2 linked regions of the Oryzias latipes genome follow. The protein of the gene in region 1 binds, or shares a complex with, the protein of each later gene. Links are inferred from orthologs where the notes say so. Each region holds a gene or a part of one and is shown in the gene's direction. Other genes may lie near its edges. The genes, in order: dlat and pdk3.

What was found.
Region 2: the proteins of dlat (region 1) and pdk3 are in contact, whole or in part, in a crystal structure (PDB 1Y8N), measured with the Homo sapiens proteins. The link is inferred for Oryzias latipes from reciprocal best matches to the Homo sapiens genes DLAT and PDK3. Residues at the interface, in NP_001922.2 of Homo sapiens: Ala225, Leu226, Ser227, Pro228, Thr229, Glu248, Gly249, Lys259, Ala260, Ile262, Glu265; in NP_005382.1 of Homo sapiens: Arg21, Phe22, Ser23, Pro24, Ser25, Pro26, Leu27, Phe48, Lys51, Val55, Asn373, Lys374, Ser375, Arg378.

The regions. Positions count from the first base shown.
Region 1 is NC_019872.2:13,263,751-13,275,533, forward strand, and holds the start of dlat (dihydrolipoyllysine-residue acetyltransferase component of pyruvate dehydrogenase complex, mitochondrial), read left to right. Parts: upstream 1-4,547; 5' UTR 4,548-4,691; coding exon 4,692-4,937; intron 4,938-5,750; exon of another isoform or gene 5,751-5,989; coding exon 5,990-6,091; intron 6,092-6,174; coding exon 6,175-6,299; exon of another isoform or gene 6,300-6,376; coding exon 6,377-6,536; intron 6,537-9,865; coding exon 9,866-9,992; intron 9,993-10,072; coding exon 10,073-10,260; intron 10,261-10,343; coding exon 10,344-10,479; intron 10,480-10,712; coding exon 10,713-10,780; intron 10,781-10,970; coding exon 10,971-11,087; intron 11,088-11,212; coding exon 11,213-11,320; intron 11,321-11,397; coding exon 11,398-11,516; intron 11,517-11,783. Other genes in the region: dixin-like, read left to right, coding at 1,611-1,757, 1,927-1,990, 2,069-2,165, 2,240-2,348, 2,424-2,503, 2,576-2,585.
Region 2 is NC_019878.2:15,199,008-15,210,826, reverse strand, and holds the start of pdk3 (pyruvate dehydrogenase kinase, isozyme 3), read left to right. Parts: upstream 1-5,363; 5' UTR 5,364-5,638; coding exon 5,639-5,741; intron 5,742-8,019; coding exon 8,020-8,161; intron 8,162-8,265; coding exon 8,266-8,337; intron 8,338-9,406; coding exon 9,407-9,591; intron 9,592-9,673; coding exon 9,674-9,763; intron 9,764-10,743; coding exon 10,744-10,821; intron 10,822-10,912; coding exon 10,913-10,989; intron 10,990-11,315; coding exon 11,316-11,417; intron 11,418-11,503; coding exon 11,504-11,611; intron 11,612-11,720; coding exon 11,721-11,819. Other genes in the region: organic solute transporter subunit alpha, read left to right, coding at 132-280. UniProt on the Homo sapiens protein: Inhibits pyruvate dehydrogenase activity by phosphorylation of the E1 subunit PDHA1, and thereby regulates glucose metabolism and aerobic respiration. Can also phosphorylate PDHA2.

The DNA.
Region 1 (11,783 bases):
CCAAAAATTGCACTAAAGGGTTACCTTAAATGTGCTAAAACCATCTTAAGGCTGCTTGAGGTATTTAACGAATCAAATAAATCCCTTCATGCATTTGACCAATCGGATGGAGCCCTTATGTTAGATGTTCACCTCCTATGTAGACGAAAGTCATTTGGAGTATAATTTAAATTATGCTGACTCTAATTTAAATTAAACTGTTGACTCTAATTTAAACTGTTGCAGTGAAATGGAAATGATGTTTTTGGTTGTTTTGCTGTTTATTCATGTATCGCCAGATTGATCACTAATATGGCAAATCGTGAATTTTCCTCTTATCATGTAGCCCTACTATTGTCTGAATAACCATTTTTGATAATCTAATTTTTTATATTTTTATCTGTAGTGTAGTTAGAAACTGGCCAATCAGATGCCTCAATGGAAGTAGGTGGTCTCATGTGAAACGTTTAGAACATTTAATTGACAGATTCTCCTGAGCCTGCTTTCAGGTGGACTTCCAACAAGCCATTTCTGATAGGTGAGAATGGTTGCCATAGAAACAATGACCCAGACCGACTTGGATCAATCACTGCTTACTGATGATTTCTGGCTCCAACATCGATGTCCGTATTGCGCAAATAATGGCCACTGAATTGGCTTCATTTAATTGAAGCCAGAGGTAAAATATTTTCTGTGGATGACATCACACTCACTTGGTCCAGTTCTCATATACTATATATAGTATAGTATAGTCTCATATACTACAGTCAATACTTTGTAAGGGGTGTGGTCTGATGGTTAGCCCCACCCCTTCTGCAGCAGGATGTTCCTTCTTTTAGAGTGGTGGCTCACTTCCTATCCACAGTAAATGCATCATGATATGAATTTAGGGGAAAACAATGAAAATTTAAAATACTTTGACTTCCTATCAGCGGATTCAGCATCTGAAGTCTTTCTACACAAGTTAAAATTTCAATTATTTAAGTCAGTCTAACTTGAATAGGATCTTTCCAGTAAACAGACCCAGAATACACCAGATTTTACGCATTTGCATGTCTTTTTTCTCTTCTTTTTCCTCATTAAAGACCCAATCTGATTAAAAAATAGTTTTCTTGTGTTTTTAAAATGTTTTTGTGTCCTTTTTCTGATGATGGAAGACATCTAAAGAACATTAAGCATAAAATTGCATTTTCCGATTATTTCTTTATTCAAATCATTGTGAAGCAGGAGCAGAGAAAAAAATGCATTTTTAAAAAGATGTAGAAAATATGCTGGGTGGGCCACCAGCTTCCTATTCCACTCTGTAAGAGGGACTGAAAGAGGACGAAGGACTTAATTACTCACTTACTGCCAACGGTCCTGCCCACATCTCAAAGGCAAATTTCTAATGAACTACTGCCGCTCTGCAGAAACAGAGTCCTAGAAAATGACACAGGTTTTTTGAGTTTGGCTAAAAGCAACATAATCAAAATAAAAAGACCACTGGGAACATTTTTACCATAGATCAAAAGATGATCAGACAGGAACTTTTACCGCTGATGTATTCTTTTAGTCTCAGAAAAAGTTTCTTTTGTTCTTCACCGTGGGGTTTAAAAAAAAAAATCTGTCGTGTTTTTGTCTCCTCCTGGCAGGCAGAGGAGGTCCAACTGATGCAAGATGCTCTGAGGAGTCTGAGGAACAAGTTTTTGGACCACGACCCTCAGCAGCACACCCTGGACACTCTGGAACAGGGCATTGTGTCGCTCATGGACCGACTGCACGCTCTGCACACGCACAGGGTACGCACAGGCCAAACACATCAGTCATGGCTAAATTTTAGGATTATTTGAATTATTTTAAGTAGAACAGCTGTAAGGTTTGGGTTGTTTGAAGGGGTTTTCCAGGAGATTTTTTTCTCGTTGAGGAGTAGATGTTCTTAGCTCTGAGCTTCCTCATGAACCTCTGCAGGAAAGAGGGAAATCTCCACGACGCAAAGATCAGCACACACACTTGGACTCATGGCCTTCCACGAGTAAGGAGCACCAAAAAGCCCAGGATGTGTTCAGGTGTAACCCACAGACTAACCCTGTGGTGTTGCTGCTCATTTCAGAAACTTTCAAGTCCCACAACGGCTCGACGTCCTCCACAAAAATCCTTTATTTTACTGGGAAGTCCATGACTCCTTCAATGATCAACATACCCAAGAGGTTGGTGTTTGACATCTGTCTTCTTGTGCTTTCTATTATGGTCTATGTGAAATGAGCCACTTCCTGTTGGACAGATTGGGCGAGGTGACTCTCAGGGATGTTAAGGCAGCTGTGGATCGAGAAGGAAACTACCGGTATCACTTTAAAGCTCTGGACCCAGAGTTTGGCACAGTAAAAGAGGAGGTAGAGAAGATCCAGCTTCATGCAGTGATGAGTTTTTAAGTTTTTTTTTTTTTTTAAAGATGTGTTTGTTTGCAGGTCTTCAACGATGCAGCACTTGTTCCAGGGTGGGAGGGGAAAATTGTGGCGTGGCTGGAGGAGGAGCGAGGGGAGGACAGGTAAGCAGGGGGTTCTCTACTTTTCTCCACTGGCTCCTCTGTTGGTTGTCTCATCACTTCTTCTTCTCTCAGGCCTTTATAGTTTCAGGGAAAAGGACAAACTCCCATGATTCCTGAGCCAAAGCACATCGGAGCGACCCCAAAATGGGCCTGTGGGCTGCAGATAGTCGCTGTGCTTTTCTACACAAGTGCCTTCATGACCGGAGCTCTGCCTGTCAATCAAAACCCCAGCAGTGTTCTGAGTTTAATGAATGTTGAACATTGTTTGTAGACATCAGTCTCGCATCCACGATTCTTTTAGGAAAAAGCAGGTCATTTTTATTTTAGTTTTAAAATAAAGTGTTTTTTATTATTCCAGAACAAAAGAAAACAGTGTTTTTTTTAAACAATGTCTGTAATGGAATGTTCTGTTAGAAAACAAGAATCAAATGGTTAACAGTGGTGTTTGTGTCTACACATCTATCTGCAGACCATTAGTTAGTCTGTGAAGGGAAGAGGATCTTTTATTTTGAAATGTTGCACTTTTGTTCTTGTTTTGTTGAACATATATTCAACAAAACTGATTGGACTTTTTATGTAATTTGCTAAAAAAAAATCTTTTTTATGTTGGAGGTTTCTGTTTCAGAGCAGTTTAAAGTATGTATGTTTGCGTGCGTGTATAATAAAAAACATATGTGGATGGCTGACACGCTGGATTTCTTCTGCTCTGCTCAAGTGTCGCCGCTGCAGACCAGTACGTTTTTCAGCAACCAGCTGGCAGCAGTGCCTTTTGCAGGTTTCTGGTTTGTATTTTTATTTAAAAACTATCCCTACCTTCTGTTTACGAAAAAAGATTTGTTAGATATTTTCAAATAAATGAGTCCTTTTTGAAAATGTCTGTTTTCCTTATTTTAATGATGAGCTTCCATCTACATTTACATGAAGATTTCCGCACAAATAAAATAAACTTAAGGTTTCCCACTTCTGTTTGACCTCCAGTTTAAGGGCACATTCACAGAAATGGCAAGGTTGTTTTTAAATTGGTTAAATGTTCAAACATAATTAAATATATATCACAGAAATGTGTATCTGTTAAATTTCAGGACTCAAAAAGATTGTTTAGTTGTAGTTGTTTTTTTATTAAATTTGTAACCAAATAGTGTACAATCGTCAAATCAGGGGCAGAGGAGTCCTCAGCAAAAAGTATTCCAATTGAAGATTATTTTATTAAATATACTTTGATATCAATACAGCAAATAAACTATAGACCATGAAGATGTAGTGCAGGAAGTGTTCTACCTTCATATTTTTTCAGATTCAATTGGAACATTGACAAAAAATAGATATTGTACAAAAAAGTACACCGTCTCACTTTTAATACAGACTATTTGTAGTGCAACTATGTAGACTACTTTTTGCCAAGGGATGTTGGAGAACAAAGGGTGTTTCAGGTTTTTTTAAAGTCTATATTTTAAATCATAATTTGACGATACTTTACAATTTATTGGTCTTTAATATACATATCCCGACAGAAACTTCAAAATCTGTTTTATATTTAGAGGACTTTAAATAATTTTTATTTCTGTCTCCCCCTTGCCATAAAACACTGCCATCTTATCAAAAATTTAGTAATTAATTTTTATCTTTAATAGTATCCCCACAAAATAAATATTTTTGAAAAACTATAAAAGTAACATGTTAGACATAAATAGTAGGATACATGACTGCACTGTTTTATTTAGCTGTCAATTATATGTTTATTTTGTTGACATTTTCAAAATGTCAAGTTTAATTTTATTTCATTTTTTATTTATTCTATGAAGAAGTTTGATTTGTGGGTGTGCGAAGGAATCAAAAAAATATTGCTATACTGCCACTGTGTGGACACTTTTAGGACTGCAGTAAACTAATTTGCAATTTGAACATATTTAAACGTTTGGAAAATGTATTATGAATAAAATTATATTTTTTAAAATTTTATTTTTGTTTGTTCTTTCCTTTTTGTTTTTATAACGTTTGAAACGTTTTTCCTTGGTCGAAATCGAAACAAGTAGCGTTTACGACACCTCCAGCGCAGTGACGGCAACCCTTGGAGGAGAGCCGTAAAGTGTCGTGTGAGGAGGTCATTAGAAAACGGGGAAGGTCTCTTCTCCTTCGTAGTCTCGGGCACTTTTGTTTTGGTTCCGTGTGGCCTCCGCTTCGAGTGGACATGCTGCGTCTGTTGCTGCGGCTCCGGCCGTGTGGTCGCTCCGGGCCCAGAGTCCTGCCAGCCCGGCCTGTCGCGCTTGGCTCCCGCCCCAGATGCAGCGGTGAGAGGCGGCTACACTGCGGAGCCGGGTCACGAACGTCGGCCTTGGGCTTGGTCTACAGTCACAGAGCCGGCCTGCTACGGTCTTCCCAACTGGTGGGTTCCGGCCCGAACACACGGTTCTACAGTCTGCCGCCACACAACAAGGTAAGCTTAGAACCGTCAGGGTCACGCGGCTCCGGTGCTCACCGTGCTTTGCTGGTGCAGCCCAGCTGGGTGAAGGTGACAGGCTCCCAACCCGCAGAAGTAACCACAGATTGTTAAAAATGCTCTTTAAGGCTAAGTGTTTAGGGTTCGGCCTCTACTATATCTGAATGGAACAACAACTTTTGGTTCTGTGAAGGTTCTGTAAAGTTCTGCTACATCCCGACCCAATAATCATTTCTCAGATCCAGGAAATAGATGGTTGTTCTGCAGGGATTTGGTTCGATTCCCCATATTTTACTTGTATTAGTTTTTCATTCTGAATAAAAAATCTTAGCTGTTGAAATTGAAATAATAAAAACATTTGAAAAGTTTTGATCACAATTATTATAGCTTTGGACTTTTATATCAGATTAAATTATTAACAATTACACCAAATCCAGTTTTCCATTATTGCAATTTTTTGCTATTTATTTAAGAAATTGAAACTTTTCTAACTATGATAAAAGTTATTCTGCAAAGCTTGAAAGTGTTATGAATCAAAATGGCATCAATTTAGAATTTTTGACCAAAGTATTAAGGTATTTTAATAGGAAGTAGTTGAGAGTGGTTTATATATTTACTCAACAGGTTTGTTTCTTCCACACATATTCAGGAGAATATAGTCTCTCAGACACTAAAACATGAATCTAAAAGTATCTATTTGTTCAGTAAAGTTGAGGAGCCACAATCATCAGGAATAACCTTTTTTTAAGCAGAAATCTTCTCCATCTCCTCCCTCGCTGCTGTTTTTGTGTCTCAGATTCATGGCGGATGTTTGGAAGCTTCTTTTATTTTTACCTTTAGCTCAAAGCTTCTGTTTGTTGACCTCAGCTGCTTCCAAAAGGTCCACAGCTGTGTTGAAATCGTTGGTGTTTACTGAGCGGAGTGGTATGATGTGGTGTGATGGACGCTGACACCATAACCAGTGACTAGTTCTTTTCCTCCTTCTTCTGTGGTGGGCGTTCCTGCAGCCTCCTCGTCTTTCGCTGACCTCTCGGGTTTGTTTGTTGCAGGTGGAGCTTCCTTCTCTGTCGCCCACCATGCAGACGGGGACCATCGCCCGCTGGGAGAAGAAGGAGGGGGACAAGATCAGCGAGGGCGAGCTCATAGCCGAGGTCTGAAGGGCGCACAATATTTCCCAGATCCACCCAGATTATTTTTTTTTTAAATAATAAAACACTTGTCTCGCTTTCCGTAGGTGGAAACGGACAAAGCTACTGTAGGTTTTGAAGTAATGGATGAGTGCTACCTGGCGAAGATCCTGGTTCCTGAAGGCACCAGAGACATTGCTGTTGGATCAGTGATCTGCATCACCGTGGAAAGGTCGGTGCTTGTCATGAAGGTTTGGGAGCAGGAGAGACTTCTGCTGGAAAAAAGATCCTATCTGTGTTTCATCTCAGCCCAGACATGATCGCAGCCTTTAAGGACGTGTCTTTGGATTCTCTCAAATCCCCTGCCGCCGCTCCTCCCCCTGCAGCCTCAGCTCCTCCCCCTGCTCCTCCAACCGCTGCTGCTCCACCCCCCGCAGCGCCGGGCAGCTCCTACCCGCCACACTTGAAGGTAGGCGTGCTCCTGCAGGAGGAACTCTGATTACAGTCGGAGCTGTAAGGTTTTCTTTTTTGTTTCAGGGTGTAGTCTTGATGTTTACCTGCAAAACTGGCTTATGGTGAAGTAGGCCTGCACGATATTAGAAAAATCTGCGATATGCGAGATCAGTGTTTGAAACTGCGATGACGGTATGACTTGCGATAAATGGAAAAATAGAAAAGCAAAAATACCAATACATTTTGGTTTCAGTGTGAGTTTTATTCAAATAATTCAACACAACTTAAATTAACGTGCAAGTTTTATTCAAAAAGAAGAAAATATATTCACCATAGAACTTGCCAAAACTAAGATGAATGATTACAAAAAATATATATAGATGCCCAGGAATAAAATAAGTTGGTGTCTCCTACATTTCCATTTTACTGCAAGTGTTATTAAATAAGTCAACATAACTTAAAATCCAAGTCTTTTTCAAAAAGGAGAAAAAGGTAAGACCTATAGCTGTGGGCAAAACATAAATGAACAATGAAGAAAAAAGATAGAGGCCCACAACTTAAACGTGACCTAGTATGAACTATAAAGGACAGCATCAGTATGTGTCATTATGGCAAGTTCTTTGAAAGGAAAACCAGCATGTTTACTTTTGTTGGTTTCAAACATGTGCGCTGACATGTTACTATGTTTCCTGATGTACTGAAAAGTCTCTCTGAAGGTGAGCTGCTTGCAGGTATGCAGAGATACTTCCTTGCAAGCTTGCTCAGCTGTGAGAATGTAATTTGGTGGAGTTTCCACCATGCCAAGGGGTCTTCTTCACTGTCTAGGGGTGCAGACAGCAGGTAGCTATTAAGCTCAGCTTCTACAGCTTGTGACAATTGCGCAACAGATGAGCTGGGGAGTGGGCTTGTCTTGAAGAAACTCCCCAGTGACTTTTTTGCCTTTTTCAGCGGAGCACTGGGTGGATCATTGGTCTTGGCTTCTACATCTGTGGAGCTTCTCTCCTAAAACAAAAGCAAAACATGAGGAAAAAAAAGATTTTGGACAAAAGAAACATCTCTGGAAAAAAACATGCATGCATGAATAACCTTTTGTGCCACTGCTTCCATTTCTGACAGCACCCTGGTCTTGATGTTTGAGACTTGATCAGTGCTGATATAGCTGGCTTTGAATCTGGGATCCATGAAACACGCCATGTCCAGAAGTTCTTGGGTAGCTGGATTTTCATATTTTGTAATCAAGTAGTCAAGGATTTTTTTCTTGATTGATTTTGTCAAATCACCATCCGCTTCCTTCTCTGCGAGCACTGATGTCTTCATCAGGTGGAGGACTGGCTTCACATATGAAACACTAACATAGATCTCACCTGACAGAGCATCTGTGAAGTCTTGCAGGGGGTGTAATGCCTGGTTGACAGATTCCAGTACATCCACATCCTGCCAAGTAGGAATCAAATGCCTGGATTTCTTGTCTGCTGAGAGAACATCAGAAATGGCCCGCTGCTGCTCCAGGACTCTCTCAATCATCTTCTGCCTGCTACCCCACCTTGTTGGACATTCAGTGACGAGTGTGTGCTCAGGGAGGTTGTGATCCTTCTGTGCTTTTTTCACAGCAGTCTTGGCTTTCCAGCTGTGACAAAAATGTCCAACTAGCTTTTTGCAAAGGCCAATGGCTCGAGCGATGCGGGCATCATCTTTGATGGAATTTTCTTGAATAAGAGGAAGACACACAAAAAAATAACTAATTATTAAACCTGTTTGTAAAAAAAAAAAAACATTAGAAATGTATAATAATTTAAAAATGAATAACAAGTCATTACAAGTGAATAATTAAATCACGACTTGCATGTTCTCGAATTATACTGTCATTTTAACATCTTGGAGCTATTCAAAATAGTTTGATAATAATTTACATATTTTTTTCATAAAGATCCATCTTAAATAAACTCACCAATTGCAAGGTGCAGCCTGTGTCCAAAACACTGAAGCCTGACCCACTTGTTGAGCTCCGTGGCTCTAACGACGTTGGGACCGTTGTCCGTGGTGATGCACACCTGTCGCTCTTCTTCAAGTTCCCAGCTTGCCAGCACGTCTAGTAATACGTGCACTATGTTTTCACTTGTATGCGACTCCGGGAAATACACGGTCTCCAGACAACGCGTTTTTAATTCAAAGTCCGCAGTGAGAAAATGCACCGTAAAACTCAAATAGGGTTCAGTCGTGCGGCTTGACCACAGGTCTGTGGTACTTGTAAAAAATCCGGCTTGGCTCAATTCAGACGTAACGGTCTTGCGGCACGTCTCATACATCTGTGGAATGGCGACTTGTGAAAAGTAATTTCGTGAAGGGATTTGATATCTCCGGTCCATTTTGTCCATCAAATTGACAAAGCCCTGTCGGCTCACTGTGTTTATTGGCATCATGTACTTTGCCAAAAAATGTTAAATGGCCTCTGTTATTTCTTTGTACCGCTTTGAAGTTTTTTCATAAGGAGTTCCACTCGCAAAACTCTGAAATACGGACGTCTGTTGGCCTGCCGAGCTCTTCTTTTTTCTCTGACTTAGCAGGTGTTTTGCTCTCCCTAGATGTCATGAACTCTTTAAACAGATCTTCGTGGTTGTATTGAAGGTGATGGTGGAGATTGCTGGTGTTTCCTCGGGTGGTTGCCACAGGTGTTCGGCATGTTTTGCATAGTACCTGTGTTTGGAGAACGTCGCCCGTCCTGAAACCAAAGTACCTCCAAATAATCGACATGCTTTTTTTTTTCGCCATGAGCACGTCCTCCGAGATATTGCTGTTAGCCATTGCAAGTCTTGTTTGGTCAAATGTCGGATGAAAAAAGTACGTAGTTTTTTTTTTAATACTCCAGCACTATGTAGAAGGCGGGTATCTAACATTAGGGGGCTCCAGTTGATTGGGCAATGACACGAAGAGCTCCATACCATTGGTTGAATGCATAAAGGGCTTTATTTGATACGTTACTTAAAACTACAAAGAGATAGTTTAGCTTTTATGTAACCTTATTAGGAGGCGACTTATCGCCATTTTGCCTCCTTTTGCGGTATGCATACCGCATTGGCCTGATACTGCGATGACGATAAATTTGCGGTTAATCGTGCAGGCCTATGGTGAAGTATCTTACCGGGAGGCAACAATAATAGTTGTGTAGATTCATTGTTTTATCAGAAAGCTGATATTTTTTAGGGAAAGTCTTCTTCCTTGTGCAGATGGGACACACTTTCTGAGGGGGTTAGCCATCAGGGCAGGAGTTATTTTTTTGGTGCTTCAGTGATTTCGTTAATTTTTGTTGAAACGCATTTAAACATTGTTTTTTTGTGCGGTTTTTAGGTCGCACTTCCTGCTCTTTCTCCCACCATGACGATGGGAACGGTGCAGCGCTGGGAGAAGAAGGTCGGCGAGAAGCTCGGTGAAGGAGATCTCCTTGCAGAGATTGAAACCGACAAAGCGACCATCGGTAAACCCAAACGGGCTCTGGCTGCAGATGGACCAGTGTGAGCATGACACAGACTTGATGCTCTGTGTGTTTGTCTGCAGGATTCGAGGTCCAGGAAGAAGGATATTTAGCCAAAATCCTGGTCCCAGAGGGAACTCGGGACGTTCCTCTGGGACAGACGCTCTGCATCATAGTAGAAAAAGAAAGTGACATCGCCGCCTTCAAGGATTACATCGAGACTGGGATGGCAGAGGCCTCCATGCCCCCACCACCTCCAGCCCCTGCAGCGGTGAGACAAAAATGGAGAAAACCCCCCCCTCTTTTAGGACAGGTCCTTTTAATAAATATTGTTTCTCTGTGCTCTCCCTGCAGACTGCAGCGCCTGCAGCCACAGCACCCAGTTCTGCAGCCGCAGCTCCAGCGGCGCCAAGGAAGGGCCGTGTTTTCGCCAGTCCACTCGCCAAGAAACTGGCAGCTGAGAAGGGAATCGATTTGGCTCAGGTCAGCGGTAGGTGACCAAAACACAACGAACGCGCTAGAGCTTTCAGGAAAAGAATCAGCCGCTCTGAAATAAAATACAGCTCATTCAATACATGCATGCATACATGTCTGCATGCATCCATGCAAACATGCATGTATGCATGCATACATATGTACATACAGTCATCTATGTATGCATGCATGCAGACATACTGCTCATATAAGTGCATTAGATAAAATGTATTTCTGGTTCCTGCTCAGGATCTGGACCTGATGGACGCGTCACTCGGAAAGATATCGAAAGCTTTGTTCCTCCAAAGGCTGCACCCGTGAGTAAAGCCACATATATCCCCAACTTTTGGTTTATTTTTTTTATCATGAAAGTAAATCATAATTAAGATTTCGAGTGTTTATTGCTCAGAGTTTGTTTAAAATGCTGTTGCCTTAGAGATTGAGTCTTAATATTTGCTGGGATTTTTCTATTTTTCATTTTGCCAAATGACTGGTATTTGCGGGCAGGCAGCAGCTGCTGCTCCCTCTCCATCAGCAGCAGCAGCAGCTCCTCCTTCACCCGCTGCTGCACCCGCTGCTCCAGCTGGCACCTTCACAGACTTCCCCATCAGCAACATCCGCAAGGTGAGCGCTCAGCACGGCTTCCTCTTTTCTGCCGGCAGAAGTCTGCACGGCCCCACCGTTAAACCAGGAGTTTTGAATCCATTCTGGAGTGCATGTTTACGCGTGTCCCCCCCCTCCCCTTACAGGTCATCGCTCAGAGGTTGATGCAGTCCAAGCAGACCATCCCTCACTATTACCTGTCTGTAGACGTCAACATGGACCAAGTGCTGGAGCTTCGAAAGGAGCTGAACGAGGTGAGTGTGGGACGCCGCTCCACCTCTCAACACGCCATGTTTGGCCCCTTACCAAGACGCCGCTTCTGTTTTTACAGGAGGTGAAATCCCAGAACATCAAGCTGAGTTTGAATGACTTCATTATCAAAGCCAGCGCCTTGGCTTGCCTCAAAGTCCCAGAATGCAACTCCTCCTGGATGGACACAGTCATTCGTCAGTGAGTAGGACAACGTACTGTCGGCCGTGATTGTGTTGTTTTGTTACATGAAGCGTGTTGCCAGGTTCAGCAAAAGGTCAAATGAAATCATTCAAAATTAAATTAAAATTTAAAAAGAAACAGAAAACAAAAACCTGTTTTATAAATAGAAAGTTTTCTATATTTGTAAAAAACAAAACTGCAAGGTGATCATCAAAATCCACTTGAGCAAACTCCTATTTTTTTACACAAAAGCACGTTTCCATAGCAACCAATTAGTAATGAGGT
Region 2 (11,819 bases), on another chromosome or scaffold:
CCGTCGTCTCTGCTTATCTGTGGGAATCAGCGACGTCCTTCCATTTGGATGGAGAAATGTGTCCAGCTGTGAAGATTGCTCCTTTCGTCTTCTTCCATCTCCATCTCACTTCCTGCTGTCTGTCTCCGCAGTGCTCAGCCAGCAGCTCCTTATCCTGGAGATGTTCATCATCACTCTGGTTACGCGGATGCTGTACCGAAGGCAGTATGACCCTTTGCCCGTCGAAGATCTAGACGACAACGAAAACACAAAGATGGTGGTGATACCGGACTCTGCGTGAGGACTGAACGCCTTACAAAACAGGAAAAGTCTCTGACTTTACTTCTAATGTTTGCTTGAATTTATATACATGTACAAAGCTGCGTCCAAAGTTACAGATTGAAAGAAAACTCAGGTCAACTTATGTCCTAAACCAAAAATGTAACAATACTTAAAAAAAGCACACACAGCAGCATCAGCTGATACGCTCAGATCTGTTTCCCTGCATGCTTTCCTCACTTTTTTTTTTTTTTTAGTTTCAGCTGCTTACAGTGTTTTTCAGCTCATCTTAACCTAACAGTGTTGATCATTTTTTCTTCTTTATGAAAGAAAGTCCAGATTTTTCCCTCACATCTGCACATCAGTTAGAAAAAGAAAGAAAGAAAGAAAGAAAGAAAGAAAGAAAGAAAGAAAGAAAGAAAGAAAGAAAGAAAGAAAGAAAGAAAGAAAGAAAGAAAGAAAGACAGGATCAGTCAGGACATTTTTTTTCCAAACAACAAACTGTACGTTCATATTCATTCATTTATAGCCGGCTGAAGGCAGCAGGAAGGAAGGCTGAAACCCCCCCGCTGATTACAAACAGACATAATGAACTGATTTATATCACCACTAGATGACTGAAGCTCAACAGGATTTATGGCCATGGCTCTTATTAAGTTTATGTGTTTCAAAGCATGTAATAGTTTTAGTCTTTCAAATGTAAATCATATCTTCTCTGCACTTCGAAAGAACAGCCAAGAGGAGCAAAATGAAAGGAAATGTCAAAATGAACTTTCACTTTCCTGTTATGCAGCTTTTGAAACATTAAGGAATTTTGCACCTTTAAGTTTTTGACATCTCTTGTTTTGTTTTTCCAAATACCTTGTTCCATTTGGCGCCTTTAAGTCATCATGTGTGTTTTGACTATACCTGGTTTGAGTTTTGTTGCTTTTTGCTGTGTTTAACTTCATACACCTGTTTCCCATAATACCTCGTTCTCTCTGTGTTTTTTTACTTCCTGAATTTTTCTGTTCCCAGTGAACACATGCTTGTGGATTTGCCTTTTTGTGTGAGGGTGTTCTCAATTTACATATAAGAATTTCCGTATCTGGACTGACTGATGCAGTAGCTCCCGTTCAGATGTCATTTGGATTGATCCTGTGGGATTTGTTGTACCTCACTTTGCATTCTTTGTGCATTTCTGACACTTTTAGATCCACATTGAGTTGTTTTTTTAAAAAAGCTATACCGTGCTTGAGCTGTCTTAAAACGTGAAATAACTTTTTTTAATGGTCTGGTCTGGTTATTTGTCCACAAACAAAACCTAAATTGGGAGGAGAAGCCTTAGAGTAAAATGTTAGTCACACAAAAGAATTTGCGTTTAAAATTAATATAGTTTTACTTTGAGCAAATAGCAATAAAAAACTTTTTTTACTGCTTCAATTACTGTTTTACTCAATTTCCTAAAACTCCATGTCACACAGTCTCAATGTAAATTTTGCTGGGATGAGAATTGGTCACACGTGAGTAAATGTGGAAAAAGTGAGAAAAGTTGTGGTCTTTGTGTAAAATTTTCGCCGATGTATCACCAATGAACCACGTTAAAACCACAGATGAAGTACGAATAAACCACGCAAAGAACCCGAAAATCAACGTAGAACATGAACCGTGCAGGATTATTCCGCTGTTTACATGCAATTCATAGTGATTGGTACATCAACAATGTATTTTTAATGTGATCTTCCAAAAATCCCACACAGTTGCGTAAAATTTACGTAATAATGCGTGTAAACTTCAATAAATACGCGTGCGCTGCGTAATTCTCAACCGACCCAAAATTTTGAACAGCTCAAAACTAAATTCACGTAAAGATCAGTCGGCCGAAACCCTCGACGGACATCACATCAACAAATGATGAAAGCAAGAAACCCACGATTTACATATATCACGCATGTTTCATGAAAGACCAAAATTCATGTGTGGGAAAAAGAGCAAAATGTACGTAGTGACCTTGTGACATGGCCTTCACAGGTTTTTGAGCAAAGGATCTCATGCTCATCTGAATTTCTAAGACCGTATCTTAATTTCTGCAGAGCAGTACACCCCCGAGTTCCTGCCTTTTGCTTCATTTTATATTTTTGAAACATATTGACATTCAGTTGAAATTATTTCTTTTATGAAAAAAAGAAAAACATTGTTTTTTTGAGTTAAGATCTTTACCAGTTTGCCTTTTTTGAATTTTTTACTGTGGCCCATTTACTATGTTTGTGTTTAAGTATTATTCAAGGAACAACGTGAAATTTAAATGTACAACTTGGTTTCACATTCTTATTTGATACTGAATAAAAAAAACGTTGCTTGATATTTGTGATCAGAGCAAAATCCCAAAACTCTTCCACCGAATTTGAATTTATTTTAATCTATTGCAGCAGATTTGTTAGTGATGCAATTAAAAAAAAGCATAGTTGCTACATCTGTTTTTTTCTTTTATTAAAAACAAAATCAGACTAATAATTTGAAAAAGGACAATTACTTTAGTTTATAGTTAAAGTTAGGAAAATACTTTTAACTCTTGGTTTTTGTCGTTAGAAATCAGATCTAAAATTATGTCACTTTTTGTGCAGGTAGATAAGGTTTCTTTTCACAGTGAAAACCTAAAGGCAATCTGCTAATACCCCACCGGCCAATCAGTAAATCACCACCAGATGGCAGTAGAGACAAGAACGAGAATGAAGTACAATTGAAACGTTTATGCATTTTTACCAACAGCGCTCCTTTAAAGGTCAGCACTCGACACAACGCATCGTTCCTGACAACACTTTAGGAACCGTTTTAAAGGTTTAAAGTAAAGTTTAATCGCATCATCTACGCAGACCGCAATAAACAAACAAGGAAACGTAAATGATGGTGACTGACGCGCCTCCGACCAATTGGAGTGCTGCTTTCAGCCACTTCCCAGCTCTAAGCCAATCAAAATAGTGGTGGAATAAGCCCCCGCCTTTGCGGTTGAGACGACGTTTCTCCTTTAAGTACGTGCTGCCTGAAGCGCCTTCAACAGACCGGATGCTCGTCAAGTGAACCTTCAAAATTAAAGGAAAAAGCAAACAAACTCTATAAGGTCTTCCTAGAGATACTAAACAGTTGTTTAGAAGTACAGTAATGTAAAATATAATGCTGACCATTACGTTAAAACTTTTTCTCACACTTTTACAAGCCATTTTTTTCTTTTTGTAAACGTTTAAAATATTTTCGGGTTGGGTTAGGGATTAAAGATTTTATAAAGGGCTAAGGCTATTTTAAAACATTTTTATTTCGATGTTTTCACAATTTAGTTGGGGTTGCATATTGGAATATATATATACACAGTACACACCAAATGTTTAGACACACCTTATTCAAAGAGTTTTCTTTATTTTCATGACCATGAAAATTGCAGATTCACACTGAAGGCATCAAAACTGAATCAACACATGAAGAATCATGTACATAACGACTGAAAATATGTCATATTGTAGGTTCTTTACGGTAGCCACCTTTTGCTTTGATTACTGCTTTGCACACTCTTGGCATTCTCTTCATGAGCTTCAAGAGGTAGTCACCTAAAATGGTCTTCCAACAGTCTTGAAGGAGTTCACAGAGATGTGGTCCACCTCACCCCAAACCCAAACTGGGTTCAGGTCCGGTGACTGTGACGGCCAGGTCATCTGGCGCAGCACCCCATCACTCACCTTCTTGGTCAGATAGCCCTTACACAGCCTGGAGGTGTGTTTGGGGTCGTTGTCCTGCTGAAAAATAAATTATGGTCCAACTAAACACAAACCGGATGGAATAGCTAGTCGCTGCAAGATGTTGTGGTAGCCATGCTGGTTCAGTATGACTTCAATTTGGAATAAATCCCCAACAGTGTCAACAGCAAAGCACCCCCACACCATCACACCTCCTCCTCCATGCTTCACGGTGGGAACCAGGCATGTAGAGTCCATGCATTCACCTTTTCTGAGTCGCACAAAGACACAATGGGTGGAACTAAAAATCTCCAATTTGGACTCATCAGACCAAAGCACAGATTTCCACTTGTTTAATGTCCATTCCTTGTGTTCTTTAGCACAAACAAGTCTTTTCTGCTTGTTGCCTTTCTTTAGCAGTGGTTTCCAAGCAGAAATTCTACCATGAAGGCCTGATTCACACAGTCTCCTTTTCACAGTTGTTGCAGAGATGTGTCTGCTGCTAGAACTCTGTGTGCCATTGACCTGCTCTCTGATCTAAGCTGCTGTTAACCTGCCATTTCTGAGGCTGGTGACTCGGATGAACTTATCCTCAGCAGCAGAGGTGACTCTTGGTCTACATTTCCTGGGGCGGTCCACATGTGAGACAGTTTCTTTGTAGCACTTGATGGTTTTTGTGATTGCACTTGGGGACACTTTCAAAGTTTTCCTATATTTTCAGACTGACTGACCTTCATTTCTTAAAGTAATGATGGCCACTCGTTTTTCTGTACTTAGCTGCTTGTTTCTTGCTGTAGTACAAATTCTAACAGTCCATTCAGTAGGACTATCAGCTGTGTATCCACCCGACTTCTGCAAAACACAACTGATGGTCCCAACCCCATTTATAAGGCAAGAAATCCCACTTATTAAACCTGACAGGGCACACCTGTGAAGTGAAAAACATTTCAGGTGACCACCTCTAGAAGCTCATCAGGAGAAAGCCAAGAGTGTGCAAAGCAGTGATCAAAGCAAAAGGTGGCTACTTTGAAGAACCTAGAATATGACATATTTTCAGTTGTTTCACACTTTTTTGTTATGTATGATTCTTCATGTGTTAATTCAGTTTTGATGCCTTCAGTGTGAATCTACAATTTTCATGGTCATGAAAATAAAGATAACTCTTTGAATGAGAAAGTATGTCCAAACCTTTGGTATGTACTGTGTACATATGTATAGATAGATAGATAGATAGATAGATAGATAGATAGATAGATAGATAGATAGATAGATAGATAGATAGATAGATAGATAGATAGATAGATAATGGTATTTTTTTAAATGTACAAGTATTTAAATGATCAAATAAACAGGTCCTCGGACATTATTTTCAACAGTTTTATTTTGAAAAGCCACAAAGGAAGTGTTCATTCGTCCCGTCGTTTGCGTTAACGTCAAGGAGCTGATCTGAACATCCACAAATGTAGATCCAGGAAGCTGAATTGGAAGCGTTCGTGTCGGGTCTCGTAACCGTATGGACCTCACCGCATCGCGCCTTTCCGAACCCGGGTCGGAGGACGGAAATGCGGACAGAGAGAGAAGAGGACTGCCGCTGTCACCGGCGGTGAAATGCTCTCATTTGTCCTGAGCCAGCCTCTGACGTCACAGCCAGACAACATCATCGTTAAACTTTCAAAATGAGGCTCTTTCTGTCTCTGCTCAAAAATGCCCACCCGAAAATCGAGTACTACTCCCGCTATTCCCCATCGCCGCTCTCCATCAAGCAGTTTTTGGATTTCGGTGAGTAGAAACCCAACATGTCCTGTTATGAATGGCCTTATGACCTCATTCCACTGTTTGCTGATGAATTTTGCAGTGAATTGTGTTTTATTATCAATAGTAAAGGTGTGAAATATAATTTTCTGTGTAGATCAGGTTGAATTCCCACTTCCATGGGAGGTCATGTCATGTCTGTATCCTTATCACCTGTTTATTAATGGAACATGTGCAGGCACACCTGAGCACTCCCAGGTGACAACACCGCTCACTCATCCTGACACCTTCCTTTTTGTGCCAAGATCTGACTCCTTACACTCCTTAGATTAGCTTGATGGTTATTTAGGACACATGAAAACTGGAGGGTCGGTTGTGTTATAACCCCTAAGATGACAGCAGTTAACTGAGTTTCTGTGCTGCATTCAGGGATTTCTTAATCCGTGATTATGTCATTTGTCCTCACAGCTGGAGATGGGATGTGAGCAACAGGAAGAACACTTGTGGAGTGGGGGATTACACTTGTTCATGATGACACAGAAGACGTTTTAAACGTTGAGATGTCACAGCTTCAGTGTTTTCACTCTTTACTTTCACTTTTTCATAAAAAAAAGTATCAAAAAAATCTGCTGGGTTTATTGAATGTATTTGAGAACTAGACTGAGTGACCCGTTCCCCCTGCGTTTCAAACAGGAAGTACCTGCTGGCTCCAAAAAGCCAAAATCCCAAAGATTTCTGTTGAGAAATAAACAGCTATTACTCAGTTATTATATTTTTACCCTTTTTTATGTGTTCCCACTAATCCTACTATTCGTGATATTTCTTTCTGTAGTTCAAGTTATTCAAGGTATAAACCGACCAATCATATGCCTCAATAAAAGGATATCCAAAGTGTTTCATTGTTAAACACTTCTGATCCTGCTTTGAAGCGGTAAGCTACGTTCACGCCGCCCTTGGCAACGCGGGCTCAAGTGACCACTTCCAATGGAAAGTCTAGGTAATTTCCAGGTTTCGGGCTATAGCGTTCAAAACTCTCCTGTTCTCGCATAGCTACACAAGTTTCCACAACCGTTTTTTGGCTTTAAATATATAATGCCATTGAGCCCACGTTGAAAGTTAAAGCGGGTTGAACTTTGACCAATCAGGGACTTGGATTAGGTAGTAACATATGCTTGATGTCCTCTTAAATTAACGGAAGTGTTCACCGTTTGGAGGCGAAATCAATAATTGTGGTTTGTGCTCAGACAGAATTATGACACCAAGTCTTTTGTACACTGGAATAGAGCCGTGAAAGAAAAAGCCTGGAGCAAGATTTGCGAGATTTGCTCCACTTTAACGTAGGTGGCGGACAAGCGCTAGTGCCTTCAAGAACGCATGTTTAGCAGTCGATGGCTGGGCTGTAAAACGTCTGAGCAGTTATCTCTCTTTCAACTCTGACATGGTTTCTCTTTCACCAGGAGATCTTAAAAGCAGACATCTCTGACTTGTGAGTCACTTTCTTATCTGATTGGAGTTATCAGTTCCATGACAATCCTCCCAACTGAGTCGACATGATAGAGGTATAAAAATAGGCATTAGTAACAAATACCAAACAATAATGTACTCAATTCGTTTAGCACCGTTTAAAGTTTGTGTCTCTTTACAGGGCCGATAATAGGAAAAATCTACTTATTGAGCTTTTAAGTCATTATAATGTTAATTCCTCGCTATGAACAGCCCCAGAGAGGTATTTTTATCCGTTCTCGCATCTCTGAGTATTCCTCTAAAAACCTGCTCTCTGAGCCCCTATCCAATCAACCCAATCCACAAAAATGAGGGGGGGTTCTCACATTGTGACATCACAAAGTTAGGAGCAGCCCCTTCCAGGAAGAGTCTGTGCTGCCAGCACCGCCCCCAGGCTAACACACACTCCTCGGGGCTAGCGGTGATTGGCTAAACACTCTCGCTTTATATGTACAATATGCACATCTATCTTTTGCAAAAGTTCGGATGGCAAACACGCTGTCGAGGCCGACTCTAGGTTGACATCATGAAATAGGCGCCGCCCACTTGGAGTGTCGCAAAGATTGAGTCGTCTGACTTCCGGGTAGGAAAATGATGATGAAACTGATGATGAAGGAAGATTCTAAGACTAAACTGGAACTAAACTGTAAGGATGTTTACTATTGTTGTTAGGAGAATCGTCTTTTTTTTTTTTTTTAGAAGAGAAGTTTCAACTTTTCAAAAATGTTATTGCCAAAATAATCAGTTTTGAGGTAAAAAAGAAAATCTCTAAAATCCCAATAAAACTTTTTTTCTTGGTTAGGAAGGGATAATGCATGTGAAAAAACCTCCTACGTGTTTCTGCGGAAGGAGCTGCCGGTGCGGTTGGCCAACACCATGAGAGAGGTTAACCTGCTGCCTGATAAACTGCTGAGTCAGCCCTCCGTCAGGTTGGTCCAGAAATGGTAAGGAGTTTCTTTTTTTTGCTTTGCTTGTTTGGCTGCCCTAAGATAAGGTGTTCTAATGGCTTTGTTGGGAGTTGACCTTTAGTCTGTGTTTTCTTTGTTAGGTACATGCAGAGTTTTGTGGAGCTGCTGGACTATGAGAACAGGAAGCCAGAGGATCCTCACACTCTGAATGAGTGAGTGAAATCTTGTGGTTAAAAACAATTGAGATGCAGGAGTAGCAAGCTCAGGCTTGTTAAGACAAACCTCACACGTAACACTCTGTGTTATTACCTCAACAAAAGTCTGTCATGCACAGCCAACAAACACAGACAGGAATTTGACGGAGCGTGTCTGCTCTGCTAACACTCCAGGCTGTCGAGGTTGCTGGCTTTGAGGCAGACTTACTCATGTTAGAACTTTCTAATCAGCATGACTTGGTGTTTAAAAAAAAAAAAGAGTAGTAAAATAACAGAAAGACTTTGGATCGGAAAAAAATTGAAAAGATGCAACATATGTACGTACGACAGAGTATTAGACCCAGCATAAAAGAAGAAAAAACAACAAACATATGAGAAAAAAGTCATAAAATTCTGAGAAAATTAAGAATTAAGTCATACAAATATGAGAAAAGAGTCTAAATTTTATGAAAATAAAGTTGTACATTTTTAATTAAAAAAGAAGCAATTATAAGACAAGGAATTCGTACAAATATAAGAAAAAAGTAAATTTATAAGTAGTACATTTTTGGGGGAAAAGGAGGGGAAAAAAAGTCAATACTAAAGTTTTAAAATAGGTAAAAATGTCACAAGATAAGTAATTGTAAATGTACATTCTAAAAAGTCATAATTTTACAAGGAAAAAATTGTGCCTTTTGGAACATAAATTTCTGCATTTAGCTTTTATAATGTTTCATCTGACATTTAAACATTACCTGTTTAAATTCATGTTGCAGACCACTCAGAGAAGCTGGAAAAACTCGCTGAATCCTCTATACTTTTGTTTTTTGTAAATATACAACTTTATTTACATCAAATTACAACTGTATTTTCAAAAAAACAACAAATTAACAAAATTTGAAATGATAAATTTACAATTTTATTCTATATTATTTGAATATAGAATTTGTTCTTGTATATTTATTTATTTTTTCACATAGTGGCCTTAATACTCCATTTGAGGCAAATGATAATTTGGTCATTTTTAATGTTTTTTTTATGTTAATTGATTTATTTAAAAAATTGTATATCTTTTTTTCTTTATTAGCTTCCTTGAGGTCCTAATCGAGATCCGGAACCGGCACAACGATGTGGTTCCCACCATGGCTCAGGGAGTCATAGAGTACAAGGAGAAGTTTGGCTTCGACCCCTTTGTCAGCAGCAACATCCAGTATTTTCTCGACCGCTTTTACACCAACCGCATTTCTTTTCGCATGCTGATCAACCAGCACAGTGAGTCTGACAAATGCCGCCGCGGTTCTCCATTGGGATCACCGCCTCTGAACTTTGGCGTCTGTGTTCTGTTCTTACCCAGCACTCCTGTTTGGTAACGACACCAACCCAGCCCATCCGAAGCACATTGGCAGCATCGATCCAACCTGCAATGTCGCCGAAGTTGTGAAGGGTGAGTTTAATTCCAACTCTGCAACTGCAACTTCTTTTTTATTTAGGTGTAGAAAAAAAAATGCTTTGATTTCTTTATTTCAGCAGTGTTTATGTTCCTGCATGCTTATGCTGTATAAGCATTGACTCACATAAGGTCCCAATTATGTTTTTTTGTTGTTTTGTTACGTTTATTGTCTTACTAGAGCCGTCTTTATGAATGTTAACTGGAAAAACTGAAGCTAAAGAGCTACTTCACTGACTCTGTGGGCCTCTTAAATGCTTTCCAGATGTGCTGGAGCAAACGCTGAAGCTCAACGTGGAGCCGATTACCCACCGAGAATATCAAAAACTCCAAAAATCGACATTTTCTAACTAAGAAAATAATTCATTTAAGTGATAAAGTGGAAGTTTTGAACAAATACTCCTCCAGTTTTTAAGGAACTTTTCCAGAATGCTATAATAAGACCTTTTGCCACGCATGTGCCGCAATAAAACTCTCCCCTACCGAGTTTCACATTTTGTAAAGGTTTTAACCAATTTTATTGGAATACTTTTTCAAACCGCTTAAAAGTTTTCCTTAGTAAATTCATCAGACATTTATGCTCGTAAATTTTTAACTTCAAAGAAAATATGTGTCTTTGAGTTTAGAGTTAAAAGCTCCTTCCATAAAATACTGGTCTGAAGGATCAGGGATCAGGCAGAACAAATGAACGTGTTTTCCTCCCACTGTCAAACTGCTTCTGTGTTCTGGACTGTTTGTTTTCCCATCCAAGCTTCTATGCAAATGTCTCTGTTCCGTGCATTTCTGGGAAATTGGAGATGAATTGTTTCCTTAGTCGGACATCAGAAGCCTAAAGGCGGCGGGGATCTGAAGCTGCACTGTGAATGACCTCTTAAGGAGCAGAAGATGCTTTAGTAAACAGTGTCAGAAACCCAAACATAAGCACTGAACCTATTCACCTTTCTGTGTTATTGGTAATGCTTTCCCTTTTCCACCAGATGCCTATGACACTGCCAAGATGCTGTGTGAGAAGTACTACTTCGCAGCTCCAGAGCTCAAGATCGAGGAGTTTAACAGTAAGTGTGGTTATGTGCAGGAATCCAGACATTTTCCCCCACTAATCTGCCTCTCAGTGGAAAAGTTTAAACTCAAATGTTTATTCTCCAGTGAAGGCTCCTAATAAGCCCATCCAGGTGGTGTATGTCCCCTCTCACCTGTTCCACATGCTGTTTGAGCTCTTCAAGGTGAGCAGTTGATCCACTGAAAGCAGATTGTTTGAATGAGAATGTTGTTTTTAACATGTTCTGGTGGTATTTTTCTCATGATGGAGGACATATATAAAGAAATTTAAGCTCTTTGAAAAAGCTTGCGGTCCTAATGAACTACCGCAGCTCTGCAGAAACTGAGAAAATTAGATAGATTCTTTTTTTCAATTTTGGCTAAAAATGGGAGAATCATGATTAAAGGACCGCTGGAAACGCTTTTAGAGAGCTCAAAAGATGATCGAAGTGGAACTTCAAGGGTCCTTGGTGGTCCTTGGTGATGAATGAAATCTGGGGTTGTTCTGCAGAATTCAATGAGGGCGACGGTGGAACTCCATGAGAACAGTGCAGAGGGATTACCCCCTGTGAAAACCAGAGTCACTTTGGGTAAAGAGGATCTCTCTGTAAAGGTAAATGGACACGATGTATTTGACACGTTTGAGGTTAAATTAAGGAAGATTGACTTTAGCTAAGTTTTTTCATCGTGTTCCTTAAGATCAGCGATAAAGGAGGAGGAGTACCTCTGAGGAAGATCGATCGTCTGTTTAACTACATGTACTCCACTGCCCCGACACCAAGCCTCGAGCCGGGAGCTGTACCACTGGTACACACTGGCTAACTCAAATTAGCCTTCAGACAAAAGCCACTTTAGCGGCAACGTTCTTTTAAGAACCGAATGACACAGGGCTTTTGTGTCTTCCTTTGTGTCACAGGCTGGTTTTGGCTATGGCTTACCGATCTCTAGACTCTATGCTCGGTACTTTCAGGGTGATCTGAAGCTCTACTCCATGGAGGGAGTTGGCACCGATGCT